3 linked regions of the Arabidopsis thaliana genome follow. The protein of the gene in region 2 interacts with the protein of the main gene of each other region in a pairwise test. Each region holds a gene or a part of one and is shown on either strand. Other genes may lie near its edges.

Evidence for each region.
Region 1: the proteins of SAUR20 (region 2) and AT3G17090 interact in binary tests that used the Arabidopsis thaliana proteins (3 or more experiments, as listed by UniProt).
Region 3: the proteins of SAUR20 (region 2) and AT5G02760 interact in binary tests that used the Arabidopsis thaliana proteins (3 or more experiments, as listed by UniProt).

Annotation. Positions count from the first base shown.
Region 1 is NC_003074.8:5,824,639-5,830,411, forward strand, and holds AT3G17090 (Protein phosphatase 2C family protein), read left to right. Parts: upstream 1-1,947; 5' UTR 1,948-2,345; coding exon 2,346-2,673; intron 2,674-3,222; coding exon 3,223-3,590; intron 3,591-4,071; coding exon 4,072-4,308; coding exon of another isoform or gene 4,309-4,312; intron 4,313-4,467; coding exon 4,468-4,689; 3' UTR 4,690-5,262; downstream 5,263-5,773. Other genes in the region: AT3G17080 (Plant self-incompatibility protein S1 family), read left to right, coding at 701-1,105. UniProt on the Arabidopsis thaliana protein: Dephosphorylates and represses plasma membrane H(+)-ATPases (PM H(+)-ATPases, e.g. AHA1 and AHA2), thus influencing negatively plant growth and fitness. Promotes the apical hook maintenance of etiolated seedlings.
Region 2 is NC_003076.8:5,965,659-5,968,539, forward strand, and holds SAUR20 (SAUR-like auxin-responsive protein family), read right to left. Parts: upstream 1,020-2,881; 5' UTR 923-1,019; coding exon 647-922; 3' UTR 525-646; downstream 1-524. Other genes in the region: AT5G18030 (SAUR-like auxin-responsive protein family), read left to right, coding at 2,869-2,881. UniProt on the Arabidopsis thaliana protein: Functions as a positive effector of cell expansion through modulation of auxin transport.
Region 3 is NC_003076.8:623,697-627,642, forward strand, and holds AT5G02760 (Protein phosphatase 2C family protein), read left to right. Parts: upstream 1-1,557; 5' UTR 1,558-1,680; coding exon 1,681-1,972; intron 1,973-2,047; coding exon 2,048-2,409; intron 2,410-2,566; coding exon 2,567-2,803; intron 2,804-2,899; coding exon 2,900-3,121; 3' UTR 3,122-3,428; downstream 3,429-3,946. UniProt on the Arabidopsis thaliana protein: Dephosphorylates and represses plasma membrane H(+)-ATPases (PM H(+)-ATPases, e.g. AHA1 and AHA2), thus influencing negatively plant growth and fitness. Promotes the apical hook maintenance of etiolated seedlings.

The sequences.
Region 1 (5,773 bases), on a different chromosome or scaffold from region 2:
GTAGAATAGAGAGATACACATTAGCATATGTAATGTAATAGTTTAAGTGACATTTACATTTGATGTAAAACAGATTTATTTAATATATGGAACTTTGATTCAGAGTTTCTTTTGAAATTTGAGTTATATATATAGAGAGAGACTATTAATCAGCATACAAACAATATATAATTTTTAACAGAAACAATTAAAGATAAAAACTATATACACGTCGGTTTACAAATGACTCAAAAGAATAAGATTTACACGACAGAACTTAACCGATGTTAAGATTACTAAAACCGACGCAAACGTTTCGACGTATAAGTAAGCGTCATTTCCTAAAGTTAAGTTAATTATATTAACGTCATGCAATGTTACGACGGTTTTTAAACCGACGCTATTATGTTAAAGTCAGTTTGAAAATGACGTTAAAGTCAATAATGACCGACGTCAAATACCGTTTCTCTTGTAGCGATCATAATTTGGAAAGTGTTGATCATATAACAACATATACTTGGATATTTTTTTTAAAAAAAGTTAGTGTCAAAACAAACATGGATCATAATTTGGAAAGTGTTGACTTAAGATGTTACCTTTTTTTTTGTGCAAAAAGATGTTACCTATACAGTATAAATACTGAACAAGTTTGATTGAAATAGTTATCAACATATACTTGGATATTTTCCAGGATTAAAAAAAAAAAAAGTTTAGACGAATTATGGGTTCTCTTGAGACATGCTTACTTTTCTTTGTAATGGTTATGTTTATGAGTGCAATTATGTCTCGAGCCTCGACGAGTGTAGTGATTTATAATGATCTTGGAGGTGGTTTGCCACTACGGCACCACTGCAAATCAAGAGAGGATGATCTTGGATACCAGAGTTTAGCACCAGGTAGATCGTGGTCGTTTGGATTTACACCGGATATTTTTGGCCGGACTTTGTTTTACTGTCGTTTTAGTTGGGGAGCTGAGAGTCATATATTTGATATCTACAAACAGAGTAGAGACAAAGAATTTCAAGAGTTTGGTTGCAAAAAATGCGAATGGAAAATACGGAAAAATGGACCTTGCAAGTTTTATAAGAAGACCGGCATGTTTGATCATTGCTATTCTTGGGATTAATATCCTTATTTTATAAAACATGTCGTAACTATCAATCTATGTCTGTCTACTTCTTCTTCTACCTTTTTTTTTCTTTTTTGTATGAGGTAATTGTGTCTTAATATGATATTTTATGGTTTGACCTACAATTCGTTTTCTTTTTTTTTTACTTGTTAATGACACAATTATAGTCAAATAATTTTAGAGCGAAGTAACAAAACATTATAAGAATATAATGTGAACTACAATGAGCTTTTCTTTTATGCTTAACGTTCATTTTTTAACAAAAAAAAAGAATTATAAATAAATAGAGAACAAGTGTTGATCGAAAGAACAACTATGTAAATTATACATTTGTGCTTAACTAAACGCATATCGATTAGAGTCCCATTTCATGACCCCGAAACTCAATGAGTCAAACGTAGTGCACAATCTAGTGTAATTTAAAACCAGAAAAAAAAAAAAACTAGTATAATTCGACATAACCAAATGGCATAGTTAAACGCATGTTGGTGAATGGAGGAAACTAAACCCGCGTGGGAAGGCTTTTCTCGAGTAGTGGAAGTGAAATATTATCTTAAAACATATACTTTCAATGACATAAATTGGTGAAGATTTACTCCCATAAGTGAAATGCATTACATCTAGAAACTTATCTCTTTTATATTTATTTCCGATTTAGCAAAAGAAGTAAGTAGAAAGTCTATTGAGTCAAACCCAAATTTTAAAAAAAATAATGCAAAGAACTTGCATATAAATATTTTACATTATAATTTGTATTAAATTTTGATTTAGTAAACATATATAACAAAATTTTCATCTTTCTTTTAATAATATAGTTTTTAGTTTGTTAGATTTTTTTTTTTTAATTTGGGCAACACAACAGTTGTGTAATAGTATAGGCAAAGAAAATGGTCGGACAGCTAAGGGAAGATCGCTCTCTCCTCATCAGACAAAAAATTACAAGCGAGAATTTCTTTGTTCCTTTACGACCGGACAAGACACGTCCGTCATCGTCTTCTACTACTTTCTATCTTACGCCTCTCCCCTTATCCTACGCCAAAACATCTTATCCTGCGCATCATCCCTTCCATTAAGACCTAGGGTTTTCTCTCTCTCCCATCATTCTCTTCTCCCGATCTCATTTCCATTACCCAATCCCGCTCCTTTTCTCTGATTTTGAATCGAACCCTTAATACCCAGAAATCTCACGGTTCCGAGGAGTGGGTTTTTGGGGGTTAGGGTTTTCGAGAGATGTTGAATGTCAGGTTCATTGATGAATCTGTTTTCTCTCTGCTTCAAGCCATTCGGGCACGTCTGTGATAATTCCGAAGCTGGATCGGGTGGTGGTGGTGGCGTTTCTGGTGGAACCGGCGGTGAAGGCAAAGACGGATTGCTTTGGTTCCGTGATCTCGGTAAATATTGCGGCGGAGATTTCTCCATGGCTGTGATTCAAGCCAATCAGGTTCTTGAAGATCAGAGCCAGGTCGAATCCGGTAATTTTGGGACTTTTGTTGGTGTTTACGATGGTCATGGTGGTCCTGAAGCTGCTCGTTATGTCTGTGATCATCTCTTTAACCATTTTCGAGGTTCGTAATCCGATTCTTCATTGACACAGTGATTCGTCATTTTGACATTCGAGCTTGAGTGTTTTGAATTGGTTTTTTGGGGAAATACATATTTTAGATGAATCCGTTGACTTAATTCTGAACTTTTTGTTCAAATCTTGGTGATGAAGATGGTGATTGGTCAACAAAGTTAGGTACTTTGACTTTTTAATCTCGTTGGGGTATAATTAGGTTCCCATTAAGCTAAATGCAAGTTTAGAGCTACAGTCTTTGCATTTAAAAACTGTGTTTATTGACTTCAGAAATAGTAAAACTTTAGATATGAGTATGCTCTTTGATATATAGGAGTATTTGTAATGCAGTTTGATATATAGGAGGACTCTTTGCATTTCGCATTCCTGGTTCTTTGAGATTGTTCTTTGCCATTTAGATAAGGGTCCCTGGCTTTTGCATTGATGGTGGAGTGTCATGAATATTACCAGGCTTAAGCAAACTAGGAGTGCACTGTAATTATGAAAGGAGGTTGAGCCTCTCTTATGTTTTGATTGCTCAGGCTTTATGGTTATGCAGAAATATCAGCGGAAACACAAGGAGTTGTGACGAGAGAGACGATAGAAAGAGCCTTTCATGCGACAGAAGAAGGATTCGCTTCCATTGTGTCAGAGCTGTGGCAAGAAATACCAAATTTGGCAACTGTTGGCACTTGTTGTTTGGTTGGAGTGATATATCAAAATACTCTTTTTGTGGCAAGTCTTGGAGATTCACGGGTTGTTCTTGGAAAGAAAGGCAACTGTGGCGGACTCTCTGCTATTCAGCTGTCGACTGAACACAATGCTAACAATGAAGATATTCGTTGGGAACTCAAGGACTTACATCCTGATGACCCGCAGATCGTTGTGTTCAGGCATGGAGTTTGGAGAGTTAAGGGCATCATTCAGGTAGTTTCTCATTCTCCTGCCATCCCTTGTGATGTTAATTTTCCAAAAGAAAAATGTAAAATTAGTCACTTAGACATAACTAGGTTCCTTGTTGTGTTAACTCTCTTTGGTTTCGCAAACTTTGACATATCTACCTTATGCTTGTTTCGGAAGAGCTAAATCATTTTTCTTCTCTCTTTTTTAGTCTTTGAGCGGTTTGGCCTTTCTTATAAGCTATAGAAAAGTTCATTAGAGGTCTGAGAAGTACAAATCTTTAAAAAGTTTTGAGAATTAGCAAGTAATGAGGTAGTGCATAAGCAGAATTAGCAAGTAATGGGTTTCTGATGAACTCCATACATATGTACTGAACAAGCTAAATATATGTCTTACGCTCTTTGTGATGTCTAGTTACCAATAATTAATCATCTCTACCATGCAGCTCTTAAGACTTTCTGATGATTCCCTGTATTTACTGTTCAACTTTGATTCGCTGTTTATATAGGTATCGAGGTCTATAGGAGACATGTACATGAAACGGCCCGAATTTAACAAGGAGCCAATCAGTCAAAAGTTCAGAATTGCAGAGCCAATGAAAAGACCCTTGATGTCTGCAACACCAACAATACTCTCTCATCCTCTGCACCCTAATGATTCGTTTCTCATTTTTGCATCTGATGGTCTTTGGGAGCATTTGACTAACGAAAAAGCAGTTGAGATTGTTCATAACCATCCCCGTGCTGTAAGTTTCTACTTTGATTTCTCTCTTAGATGGCGTTTTTGGTCTAGATAAGTTTTAGATTGCAGTTTTAAGCGAGTCAAGTCACAAGAATCCTCATTATTACAAATTCGTTAAATATATAAATGATTTCTTGCATTGTGTGTTTCTCTCTATGTTCAGGGAAGCGCAAAGAGACTGATAAAGGCGGCTCTTCACGAGGCAGCGAGGAAACGTGAGATGAGATATTCAGATCTAAGGAAGATTGACAAGAAAGTGAGACGACATTTTCATGATGACATCACGGTTATAGTGGTGTTCTTGAACCATGACCTCATATCGAGAGGCCACATCAACTCAACCCAAGACACAACAGTCTCTATACGGAGTGCTCTTGAACACTGAGAATCCCAAACATTTTACAACAATGTTTCTTCTTACTTGATTATATGACTTTTGCCTAGAATGAATAAAAAAAAGGCAACATATGGAAAAAACCAAAAATGAAAAAAACAACATCATTATCGTACGTAATGAGTTCTCTCTTGTATTAAGCGGCTATGTTTGACTTTTGGTGTTTCTCTTCAAAGTTCTGATGAGTTCCAAGTCTTTTACTTCTTGCCGTTCGTCAAAAGTATGTAATGTAACATAGCCGTGTAACCATACTATTCTCGAATGTAACATCAAGTCTCTAATCAAAATTGTTTTGGTAACTTATAATTATTCTTCATTCCCGAACAGTGGTTATTCTTCAACATTTCTAGGTTTAACTTTATTGATCAAAAAAGATTTTAAGATGCTCTTGGATTACTGTTTCGATATTTATGTGCCACAGTTGTCAACTCTTCATACTATCTCAAATTTGCGGTTTCGGTGAAATACTTAATTTTCGTACGGATTTGATTTGGAGAACAAAGTCGTGGAGCAACGTTTGGCTTCAACATTTTACTTATGCAAGACTTAAATGTTAGTTCTGATTAAATGGATTCATGGACCTTTTCTAAAAAATATCAAATACAATTCCATAAATCTATAAAGTTCTTGTTAATACTAAAACCTTTGAGAGTACTAATGAAAGAAAAATCAGATTAAGCTTTCTAGGCTGCATTATGCATCAAAAAGAAGTTGAATGTCAATCAACAACTCAGAGCCCAGTGCATATTCATCATCTTTTCCTTCTTAGACCCTCAACAATTATTCTAGCCAGATAAAAAAATTGAAACAGATACAAAAAATTATAAGGATCCTCAGAGTAAAAATGCTTATAGCTTTTCATCAATAAAAAATCAGGTCTCAAAGATTTCATGCCATCATAGGATCCTTCAATAAGCTTTTTTAAAAAAGAAACGATAACTGATTAGGATATAGCACGAGCTTATTCGCTATGCCTGGTTAAACATAGACGAAGCGACTCAACGCCCCTGCAATAATCTATCGCCTCACGAATAAAATCGATGAAAGAATCATCCCGTAGATATTGAATACTCTA
Region 2 (2,881 bases):
TCATTGAGTGGACCAAATCCAAATCCCTTGAGTTTCCTACAATTCCTTTAAACTTAGTTTCTCTTATACTGTTTCTCTTCAGATCAAAATACACAACATGGCGTAGAAGCTTCGTGCCAAGGAAGCAGCATTTTGGGTTAAGAAGATTCCTATGATCCCTCCCGTTTTCTCTTTCTTTGAATCCATGGCGGATCGCAAACACACTTTTACTTTCTTCAAACCCTAAACAGTTGTGTTTAGTTTATCGAATGAAAGCGAAGGGCAAAGTCTGGATTTTTTTAAAAAGAATATCCGGAGTAAAGTTCGGGGAATTGAACCCGACGTGAATCGAACACGCAACCTTCTGATCTGGAGTCAGACGCGCTACCATTGCGCCACGGATCCGGATGTTATATGTTCCACTTAATTGTACTTAATCAACATGAAACTATCATTAGAGTAGTTCCAATTGGTTTGGTCATTGGTGTTATCTTTTCATTTTTCAATGAAAGATCAAAAATGTATTGACATGAATCGTTTCTGTTGCATAAAGATGGCATTTACTCTCTAAACTTTTAGAACAACTCTTTCAAGAAGAAAGAGAAAAAAGCTCATGTATTTACAATGAATAAGTCTATTTCTAACTAGGAAGAAAAATGTTGGCTCATCATCGTTGGAACCGAGAAGTCACATTGATGAATGTATCTTCAGGACAGGGGATCGTTAAGCCACCCATTGGATGATCGAATCCAAACTCTTCCTCGGATTTACTGAGAAGAGCTTGAAATGAAGGCTGGTTTAAATATGAGATTGGCACCAGATATCTCTTCTTTTGGCTCTCACCTACGTACACTGCAAGAAACCCTTTTGGTGCCGCCGAGGCTGCTGTGGTGGAGCGGCTTAGAATCTTCTTTGCTCCCAATAGACTTCTCACAAAAGCCATATCTATTGTTTTTGTTTCGAATATTAAATTCTTTAAAATCTTCTGAAGATGTATGAAAAGATTCAAGTTATTGGATTGCTTGTTGTTTGTTGATGATTGAAAGAATGGGTTTATGAGTGTATATATAGAAAGATCAACTACTAATGAGTTGAAACCTCTCTGAAAAAATCATTGAAACTTGTGGTCTTGAAGTGTTGGACAGACTAGAACAGAGAACATGGTTCTGTCTCTACCATTTGGAAAAGATGCATTAATGCAGTTTGTCTTGATGAGATAATTAATTGATTGTGGGACATTAAACTAAAAACAAAATCCATATGCAATTCACAAGGGACTGTTTTCTCAATGTTTTTAGATAAAAGACCAGCAAGTTTCTCTTCTCCATGTTCTGTGATGATCCTATTTTTGATTCTCTGTGGTCTAAATGGATTTAATAACAACTTAAAAGTGGGGACCTGAAGTTTCTCAACAACAGAACAACATGTCTCCATCACTCTTTAAGCTGTTCCTTTTTTATGATATACACAAATAGAACCACACACGAAAATCAAGTAAAAGAATAAAGAAAACATCATCAAAATATATACCCCTTTAGTTTTCTTGCAACAGTATTACAGTAATGAGATCCTCCATGCCTTGCTTGTCTTTGAAGCAACTTAAGTACCTAAGTGTAAACATCGGTGAGAAAATCACTATGATGTTAGCCTTAAGGTCAAGATCAAGAATCTTCATTATTTTAAGCAAATCCTCTTGGTGATAAGGAATGTATTTACACATTATATCTATGACAGCAAGATGAAGTATTTACATTGAATAATCTATCTCTCACTAACTACTGTTAGTTATTCCTTCTTGCGGAACATCTTCATTGAAGCTGAGAAGTCAGATCGATGAAGGTATCTTCAGGACAATGGATTTTTAAGCTAGCCACCCATTGGATGATCGAATCCAAGCTCTTCCTTGGAATTACGGTGAAGAGCTTGAAATGAAGGCTGGTTTAAATATAAGACTGGCACCAAATATCTTTTCTTTTAGACCTGGTCTTCGCCAACGTACACCGCAAGAAACCCCCTTGATGCTGAAACTGGCCTTTTGCTTGTAGCCTCTATAGAAAATCTGATAATTTTCTTTGCACCCAAAAGACCTCTGAACAAAAACATTTCTTGTGTTTGGAAAATCTAAATTTGAAGCTTTAGAGAAAAACCTAGATGCTCAGATTCAAGCTTCGGATTGAATAGTTAGTTCTATCTTTAGATGTATAAATAGATTGATGGACTTCAAACCAACATGGAACATACACAAACAGAGTTACGTTTCACATGATTCTGTTTTCTCCATATTTTTATAATAAATGCAGAGAAGAAAGGAGATATTCAATCCTTTACTTGTAACTGTCATGTGTGGTCCTCCTATTTGAGGATATCAAAAAAGAACAACTTAACCCTAGACAAAGACTTGTTGTTCTATTGTTGAGCTACTTCAGGTCCCAATTTTAAGTTCTTATTAAATTGCACCACAGACATGAGGTAATATGATCATCACAGAACATGAAGGAAAGAAACTTGCTGGGCCTTCTTATTGACAATAGCATGTCTTATCTTAAAAACATTGAGGAAACAGTCCCTTGTGCATATGGAGTTAGTTTTTCGTTTATTGGCCCAAACTCAATTAATTATGTCATCAAGACAAATTTCATTAATGCTTCTTTTCTAGATTGTAAAGACAGAACCATGTGAGCTCTGTTCTAGTCTGTCCCACGCTTCAAGACCACAAGTTTCAATGATTTTTTCAAAGAGGTTTTAACTCCTTCATTGATCTTTCTATATATACACACATAAACACATTCGTTCTATCATCAACCAACAACAAGCAATATATCCAATAACTTGAATCTTTTCATCCATCTTAATAAGCTTCAAAAACCTTTTCGTACAAAAATAACAGATATGGCTTTGGTGA
Region 3 (3,946 bases), 5.3 Mb from region 2:
TTACCAAATTATGCGTCAAGTCACACCAATTGATGAGGTTGGCCTTATCGAACTAGTGGAACCGTCATATGCGAAACCAAATATAAGAAATGAATGAAAGACCTTTCAACAAAATTAATAAGCAAGTAGAAGTAAATCCAATATCAATATAACAATTGGTTAAACCTAAATTATATGCATCCAATACGAAAATTCTTTTTTTGGTATCTTTTAATCCGTTTATTATATTTGTGGAGCCTAAGTTGCGGATCCACTTGTATTCCTTATTTGAATCATTGTTATCATTTCTCATTGTTTGTGACTCGTGAGCTAGAAGAAACAAAAACAAAAGGATAACGTAATTTTGATATTTAAAGTAAACCACTATAAATCATTGTGTGTGTGTTTTTTCTTGTTTTAAAAGATCGAATTAGGGAGCCTAACATGTTTTTGTCTCAAGAGATTATTATCATTAAAAAAAACAAGTGGAAGTGGAAGTTGTGTAACCCACTTGTTGAATTCTTAACTTCGAAGCACAACAAAAAGATAGACGAAAAACGAAAACTCGATCTAACTTCGACATATGCATTAGATAACATATAGAAATTTAAACAATCTCGTTGATGAAATTGGTCTATCAACACACGACAGTGGTTCTCTCTACAGTAGCATCAAATCGGTGGATCCTTATGAACAGAAAAAACGAGGAGGGACAGAGGAAGGCCAATGAGGGGTCATGCAAAATGGAACTTAGCAAAAGTACCAAAAAGATCCATCCTCTTTGAAAATTCATTTCAGCCCCATAATTATCCATGACATGAATTTCGATCTGAATCTCACAACAAGTAAGAGATCAGCTTTTGATAACATTAAAGAAAAAGGTAAAAAAAAGAAAGACGAGAGACTGAGAAAAGGGCAAAGACCTGTAGGGGTTAAGACAGCTAAGAGTGTTCCTCAGTCGCCCCACAAATGTCTTCTCTCCTCTCTCTTCAGTCTTTCTCAGCTCTCAAATCTTTAAATGGTTCCAAGTTCAATGCTCCCAAAACCCACGCCCACACATGCATCCTATGACCTTTCCTTTTCTATCCATTTTCTTCCCACAAATTACCACTTTGCAAACAAAAGCCAAAAACTCATTTACAAGATGAGTTAATAAAGACACTAACACACAACCAATGTGAAAACAGACGTTTACATGAGATATTGTTACCTCTAAGAAGTCATTAATCATATAATGAGAACATTCTTGCTTCCTAAGTTTTTACAAGATTATTAACCTCTAAGAAAGGAGAGACACTTTTAACGCAATAATAACTACATGATGTTATAAATATAGGAGAGAGTAGAAAAGAATATGACAGCCCTACTAAGACAGAGAATCATCATCGAACAGTAAAGAGGAGAATCTCTGAATATCCACTTTAAACTACTGCCCTCTTGTCTTAACTCTCAGAACCATTTAATTTTTCAGTTATTTTGACCCATACCCTTTTTGGCCTCTTTCCCTGCTTTCCAACACCTTCACACTTACTCTAGGGCTTCCACGGCTATATATATATGGTCCCTTCCTTAAACTTGTATCTCATAATTCACAACCAGCACTGCTACTACTAGTTTATCATTATTCCATCAATTTATTCTATATAGAGTTCTTCTCTGTTTATATTACGATATTGCTCGAAGATTACATACCTGAGAAAGATGGTTAAACCCTGTTGGAGAATAGGTGCCGGTATGGAGAGAAGTAAGATCAATCCCACAAAGGTTGATGGTTTGACATGGTACAAAGATCTTGGTCTTCACACCTTTGGAGAGTTTTCCATGGCAATGATCCAAGCCAACAGTGTGATGGAGGATCAGTGCCAGATCGAATCAGGGCCGCTTACATTCAACAATCCGACAGTTCAAGGCACATTTGTTGGAGTTTACGATGGCCATGGAGGTCCAGAGGCTTCCAGATTCATTGCAGACAACATCTTCCCCAAGTTAAAGAGTAAGACACCGACTTTTTTTATTTCCTTTATTGTTGAATCTGCCAGGCACACTAACACTGGTCTCACATGAACAGAGTTTGCGTCCGAGGGTAGGGAGATTTCAGAGCAGGTGATCAGCAAAGCATTTGCCGAGACAGACAAAGATTTTCTCAAGACAGTGACGAAGCAATGGCCTACGAACCCACAGATGGCATCAGTGGGGTCATGTTGCTTGGCAGGAGTGATATGCAACGGATTGGTGTATATTGCAAACACGGGAGATTCCAGAGCTGTGTTGGGCAGATCTGAGAGAGGTGGAGTGAGAGCTGTTCAGTTATCTGTAGAGCACAATGCCAATCTTGAGTCTGCGAGGCAAGAGCTATGGTCATTGCATCCTAATGACCCCACCATTCTTGTGATGAAGCACCGCTTGTGGCGTGTGAAAGGCGTTATCCAGGTAAACATTCATACATGATAACGCATCTGATAACCTGCACAGAGTTTTGCTTCATCAGTTTCTATGAAATACAAAAGCTTAAGAAAATCATATATTGAAGCCTATCTTGTGTAAGGATGTAAAACTGACTAGCAAATGTGTTATGACCTTTAACCAGGTCACAAGATCCATAGGTGATGCATACCTCAAAAGAGCAGAGTTCAACAGAGAACCTTTGCTGCCCAAATTCAGACTACCAGAACATTTCACTAAGCCAATCCTTAGTGCGGATCCATCAGTCACCATTACGCGGCTTAGCCCACAAGATGAGTTTATAATTCTTGCTTCAGATGGGCTTTGGGAGCATCTTAGCAACCAGGAAGCTGTTGATATTGTGCATAATTCCCCTCGACAAGTAAGTTCAATGCCTAACCCATATACAAATACGTTACATACTAGCACAATGCACACCAAGAACTATTCGTTAATACTAATACCTTCACAATCACAGGGAATAGCAAGGAGACTACTTAAAGCTGCATTGAAGGAAGCAGCAAAGAAAAGAGAGATGAGATACTCAGACCTAACAGAGATCCATCCTGGTGTAAGAAGGCATTTCCACGACGATATAACCGTTATTGTGGTCTATCTCAACCCCCACCCGGTCAAAACCAATTCTTGGGCTTCACCTCTGTCAATTAGAGGGGGATACCCGATGCATTCAACATCATGAACAGATCTTACGGCAAAAACACTTCCTGTGTCAAGGGCAATAAATTGGAGCCAGGGTCAAGAAAAGAACTAGTAGTATAGCTAGAAACAATATTAAGTTATGAGATCTTTGATATGTTCTCCACAAGAAAACATGAATTCTCATGTACCCCTGTATGCAAAATTATACACGAGGGTACTTGCATGCAATATCATCAATGTCAACGCTGGTAAAATTCGAAAGCGTTGCAACATATTGGAGTTTAGGCACAAAACAGTAGATAGCCAAGAAATGTGTTGAAACTTAACATTACATTCCCTTTATAAAAGTTTTCTGGCGCTTCATTCAAAATTAACAGAAAGCAAGTATCAACAAAAGTTTATCTAAAATCTATTACAGAAACAAAGAAACTGTGTAGCATCAGAAGCCAGCAAAAACGCAGTCCCACGAACAGAGAATTTAGAATCTGAGGCTCTCTTTCCTTCAACTGCCATAGAGACCAGAGATATGGAAACCAACAAGTACATCTATAGTTCTAATGATGTCTTACATGACAAAGAAATTCTGAAGTAGCGGCTTGAGAGGTCATATGAAATTAAGTAACCTAAGAACGACACATGTTTATGGGATCCATTTTGCATGCAATATTCGCAATCAAGCACAGAACACCAGTAGACCAGCTAAATTTCGTAACCAAGACTAAGAAAAACTAGCAAAATAGGCACAACTCAAAAGTAATCAACACTTCTAATTTCTAACTAGTTCAAAACAGTAAAAAAATGTCTCCCTTACTTAAATATTTGCTGCATGCAGTACAAATTTTCAATTGCTGGTGCTTGTGCTTGA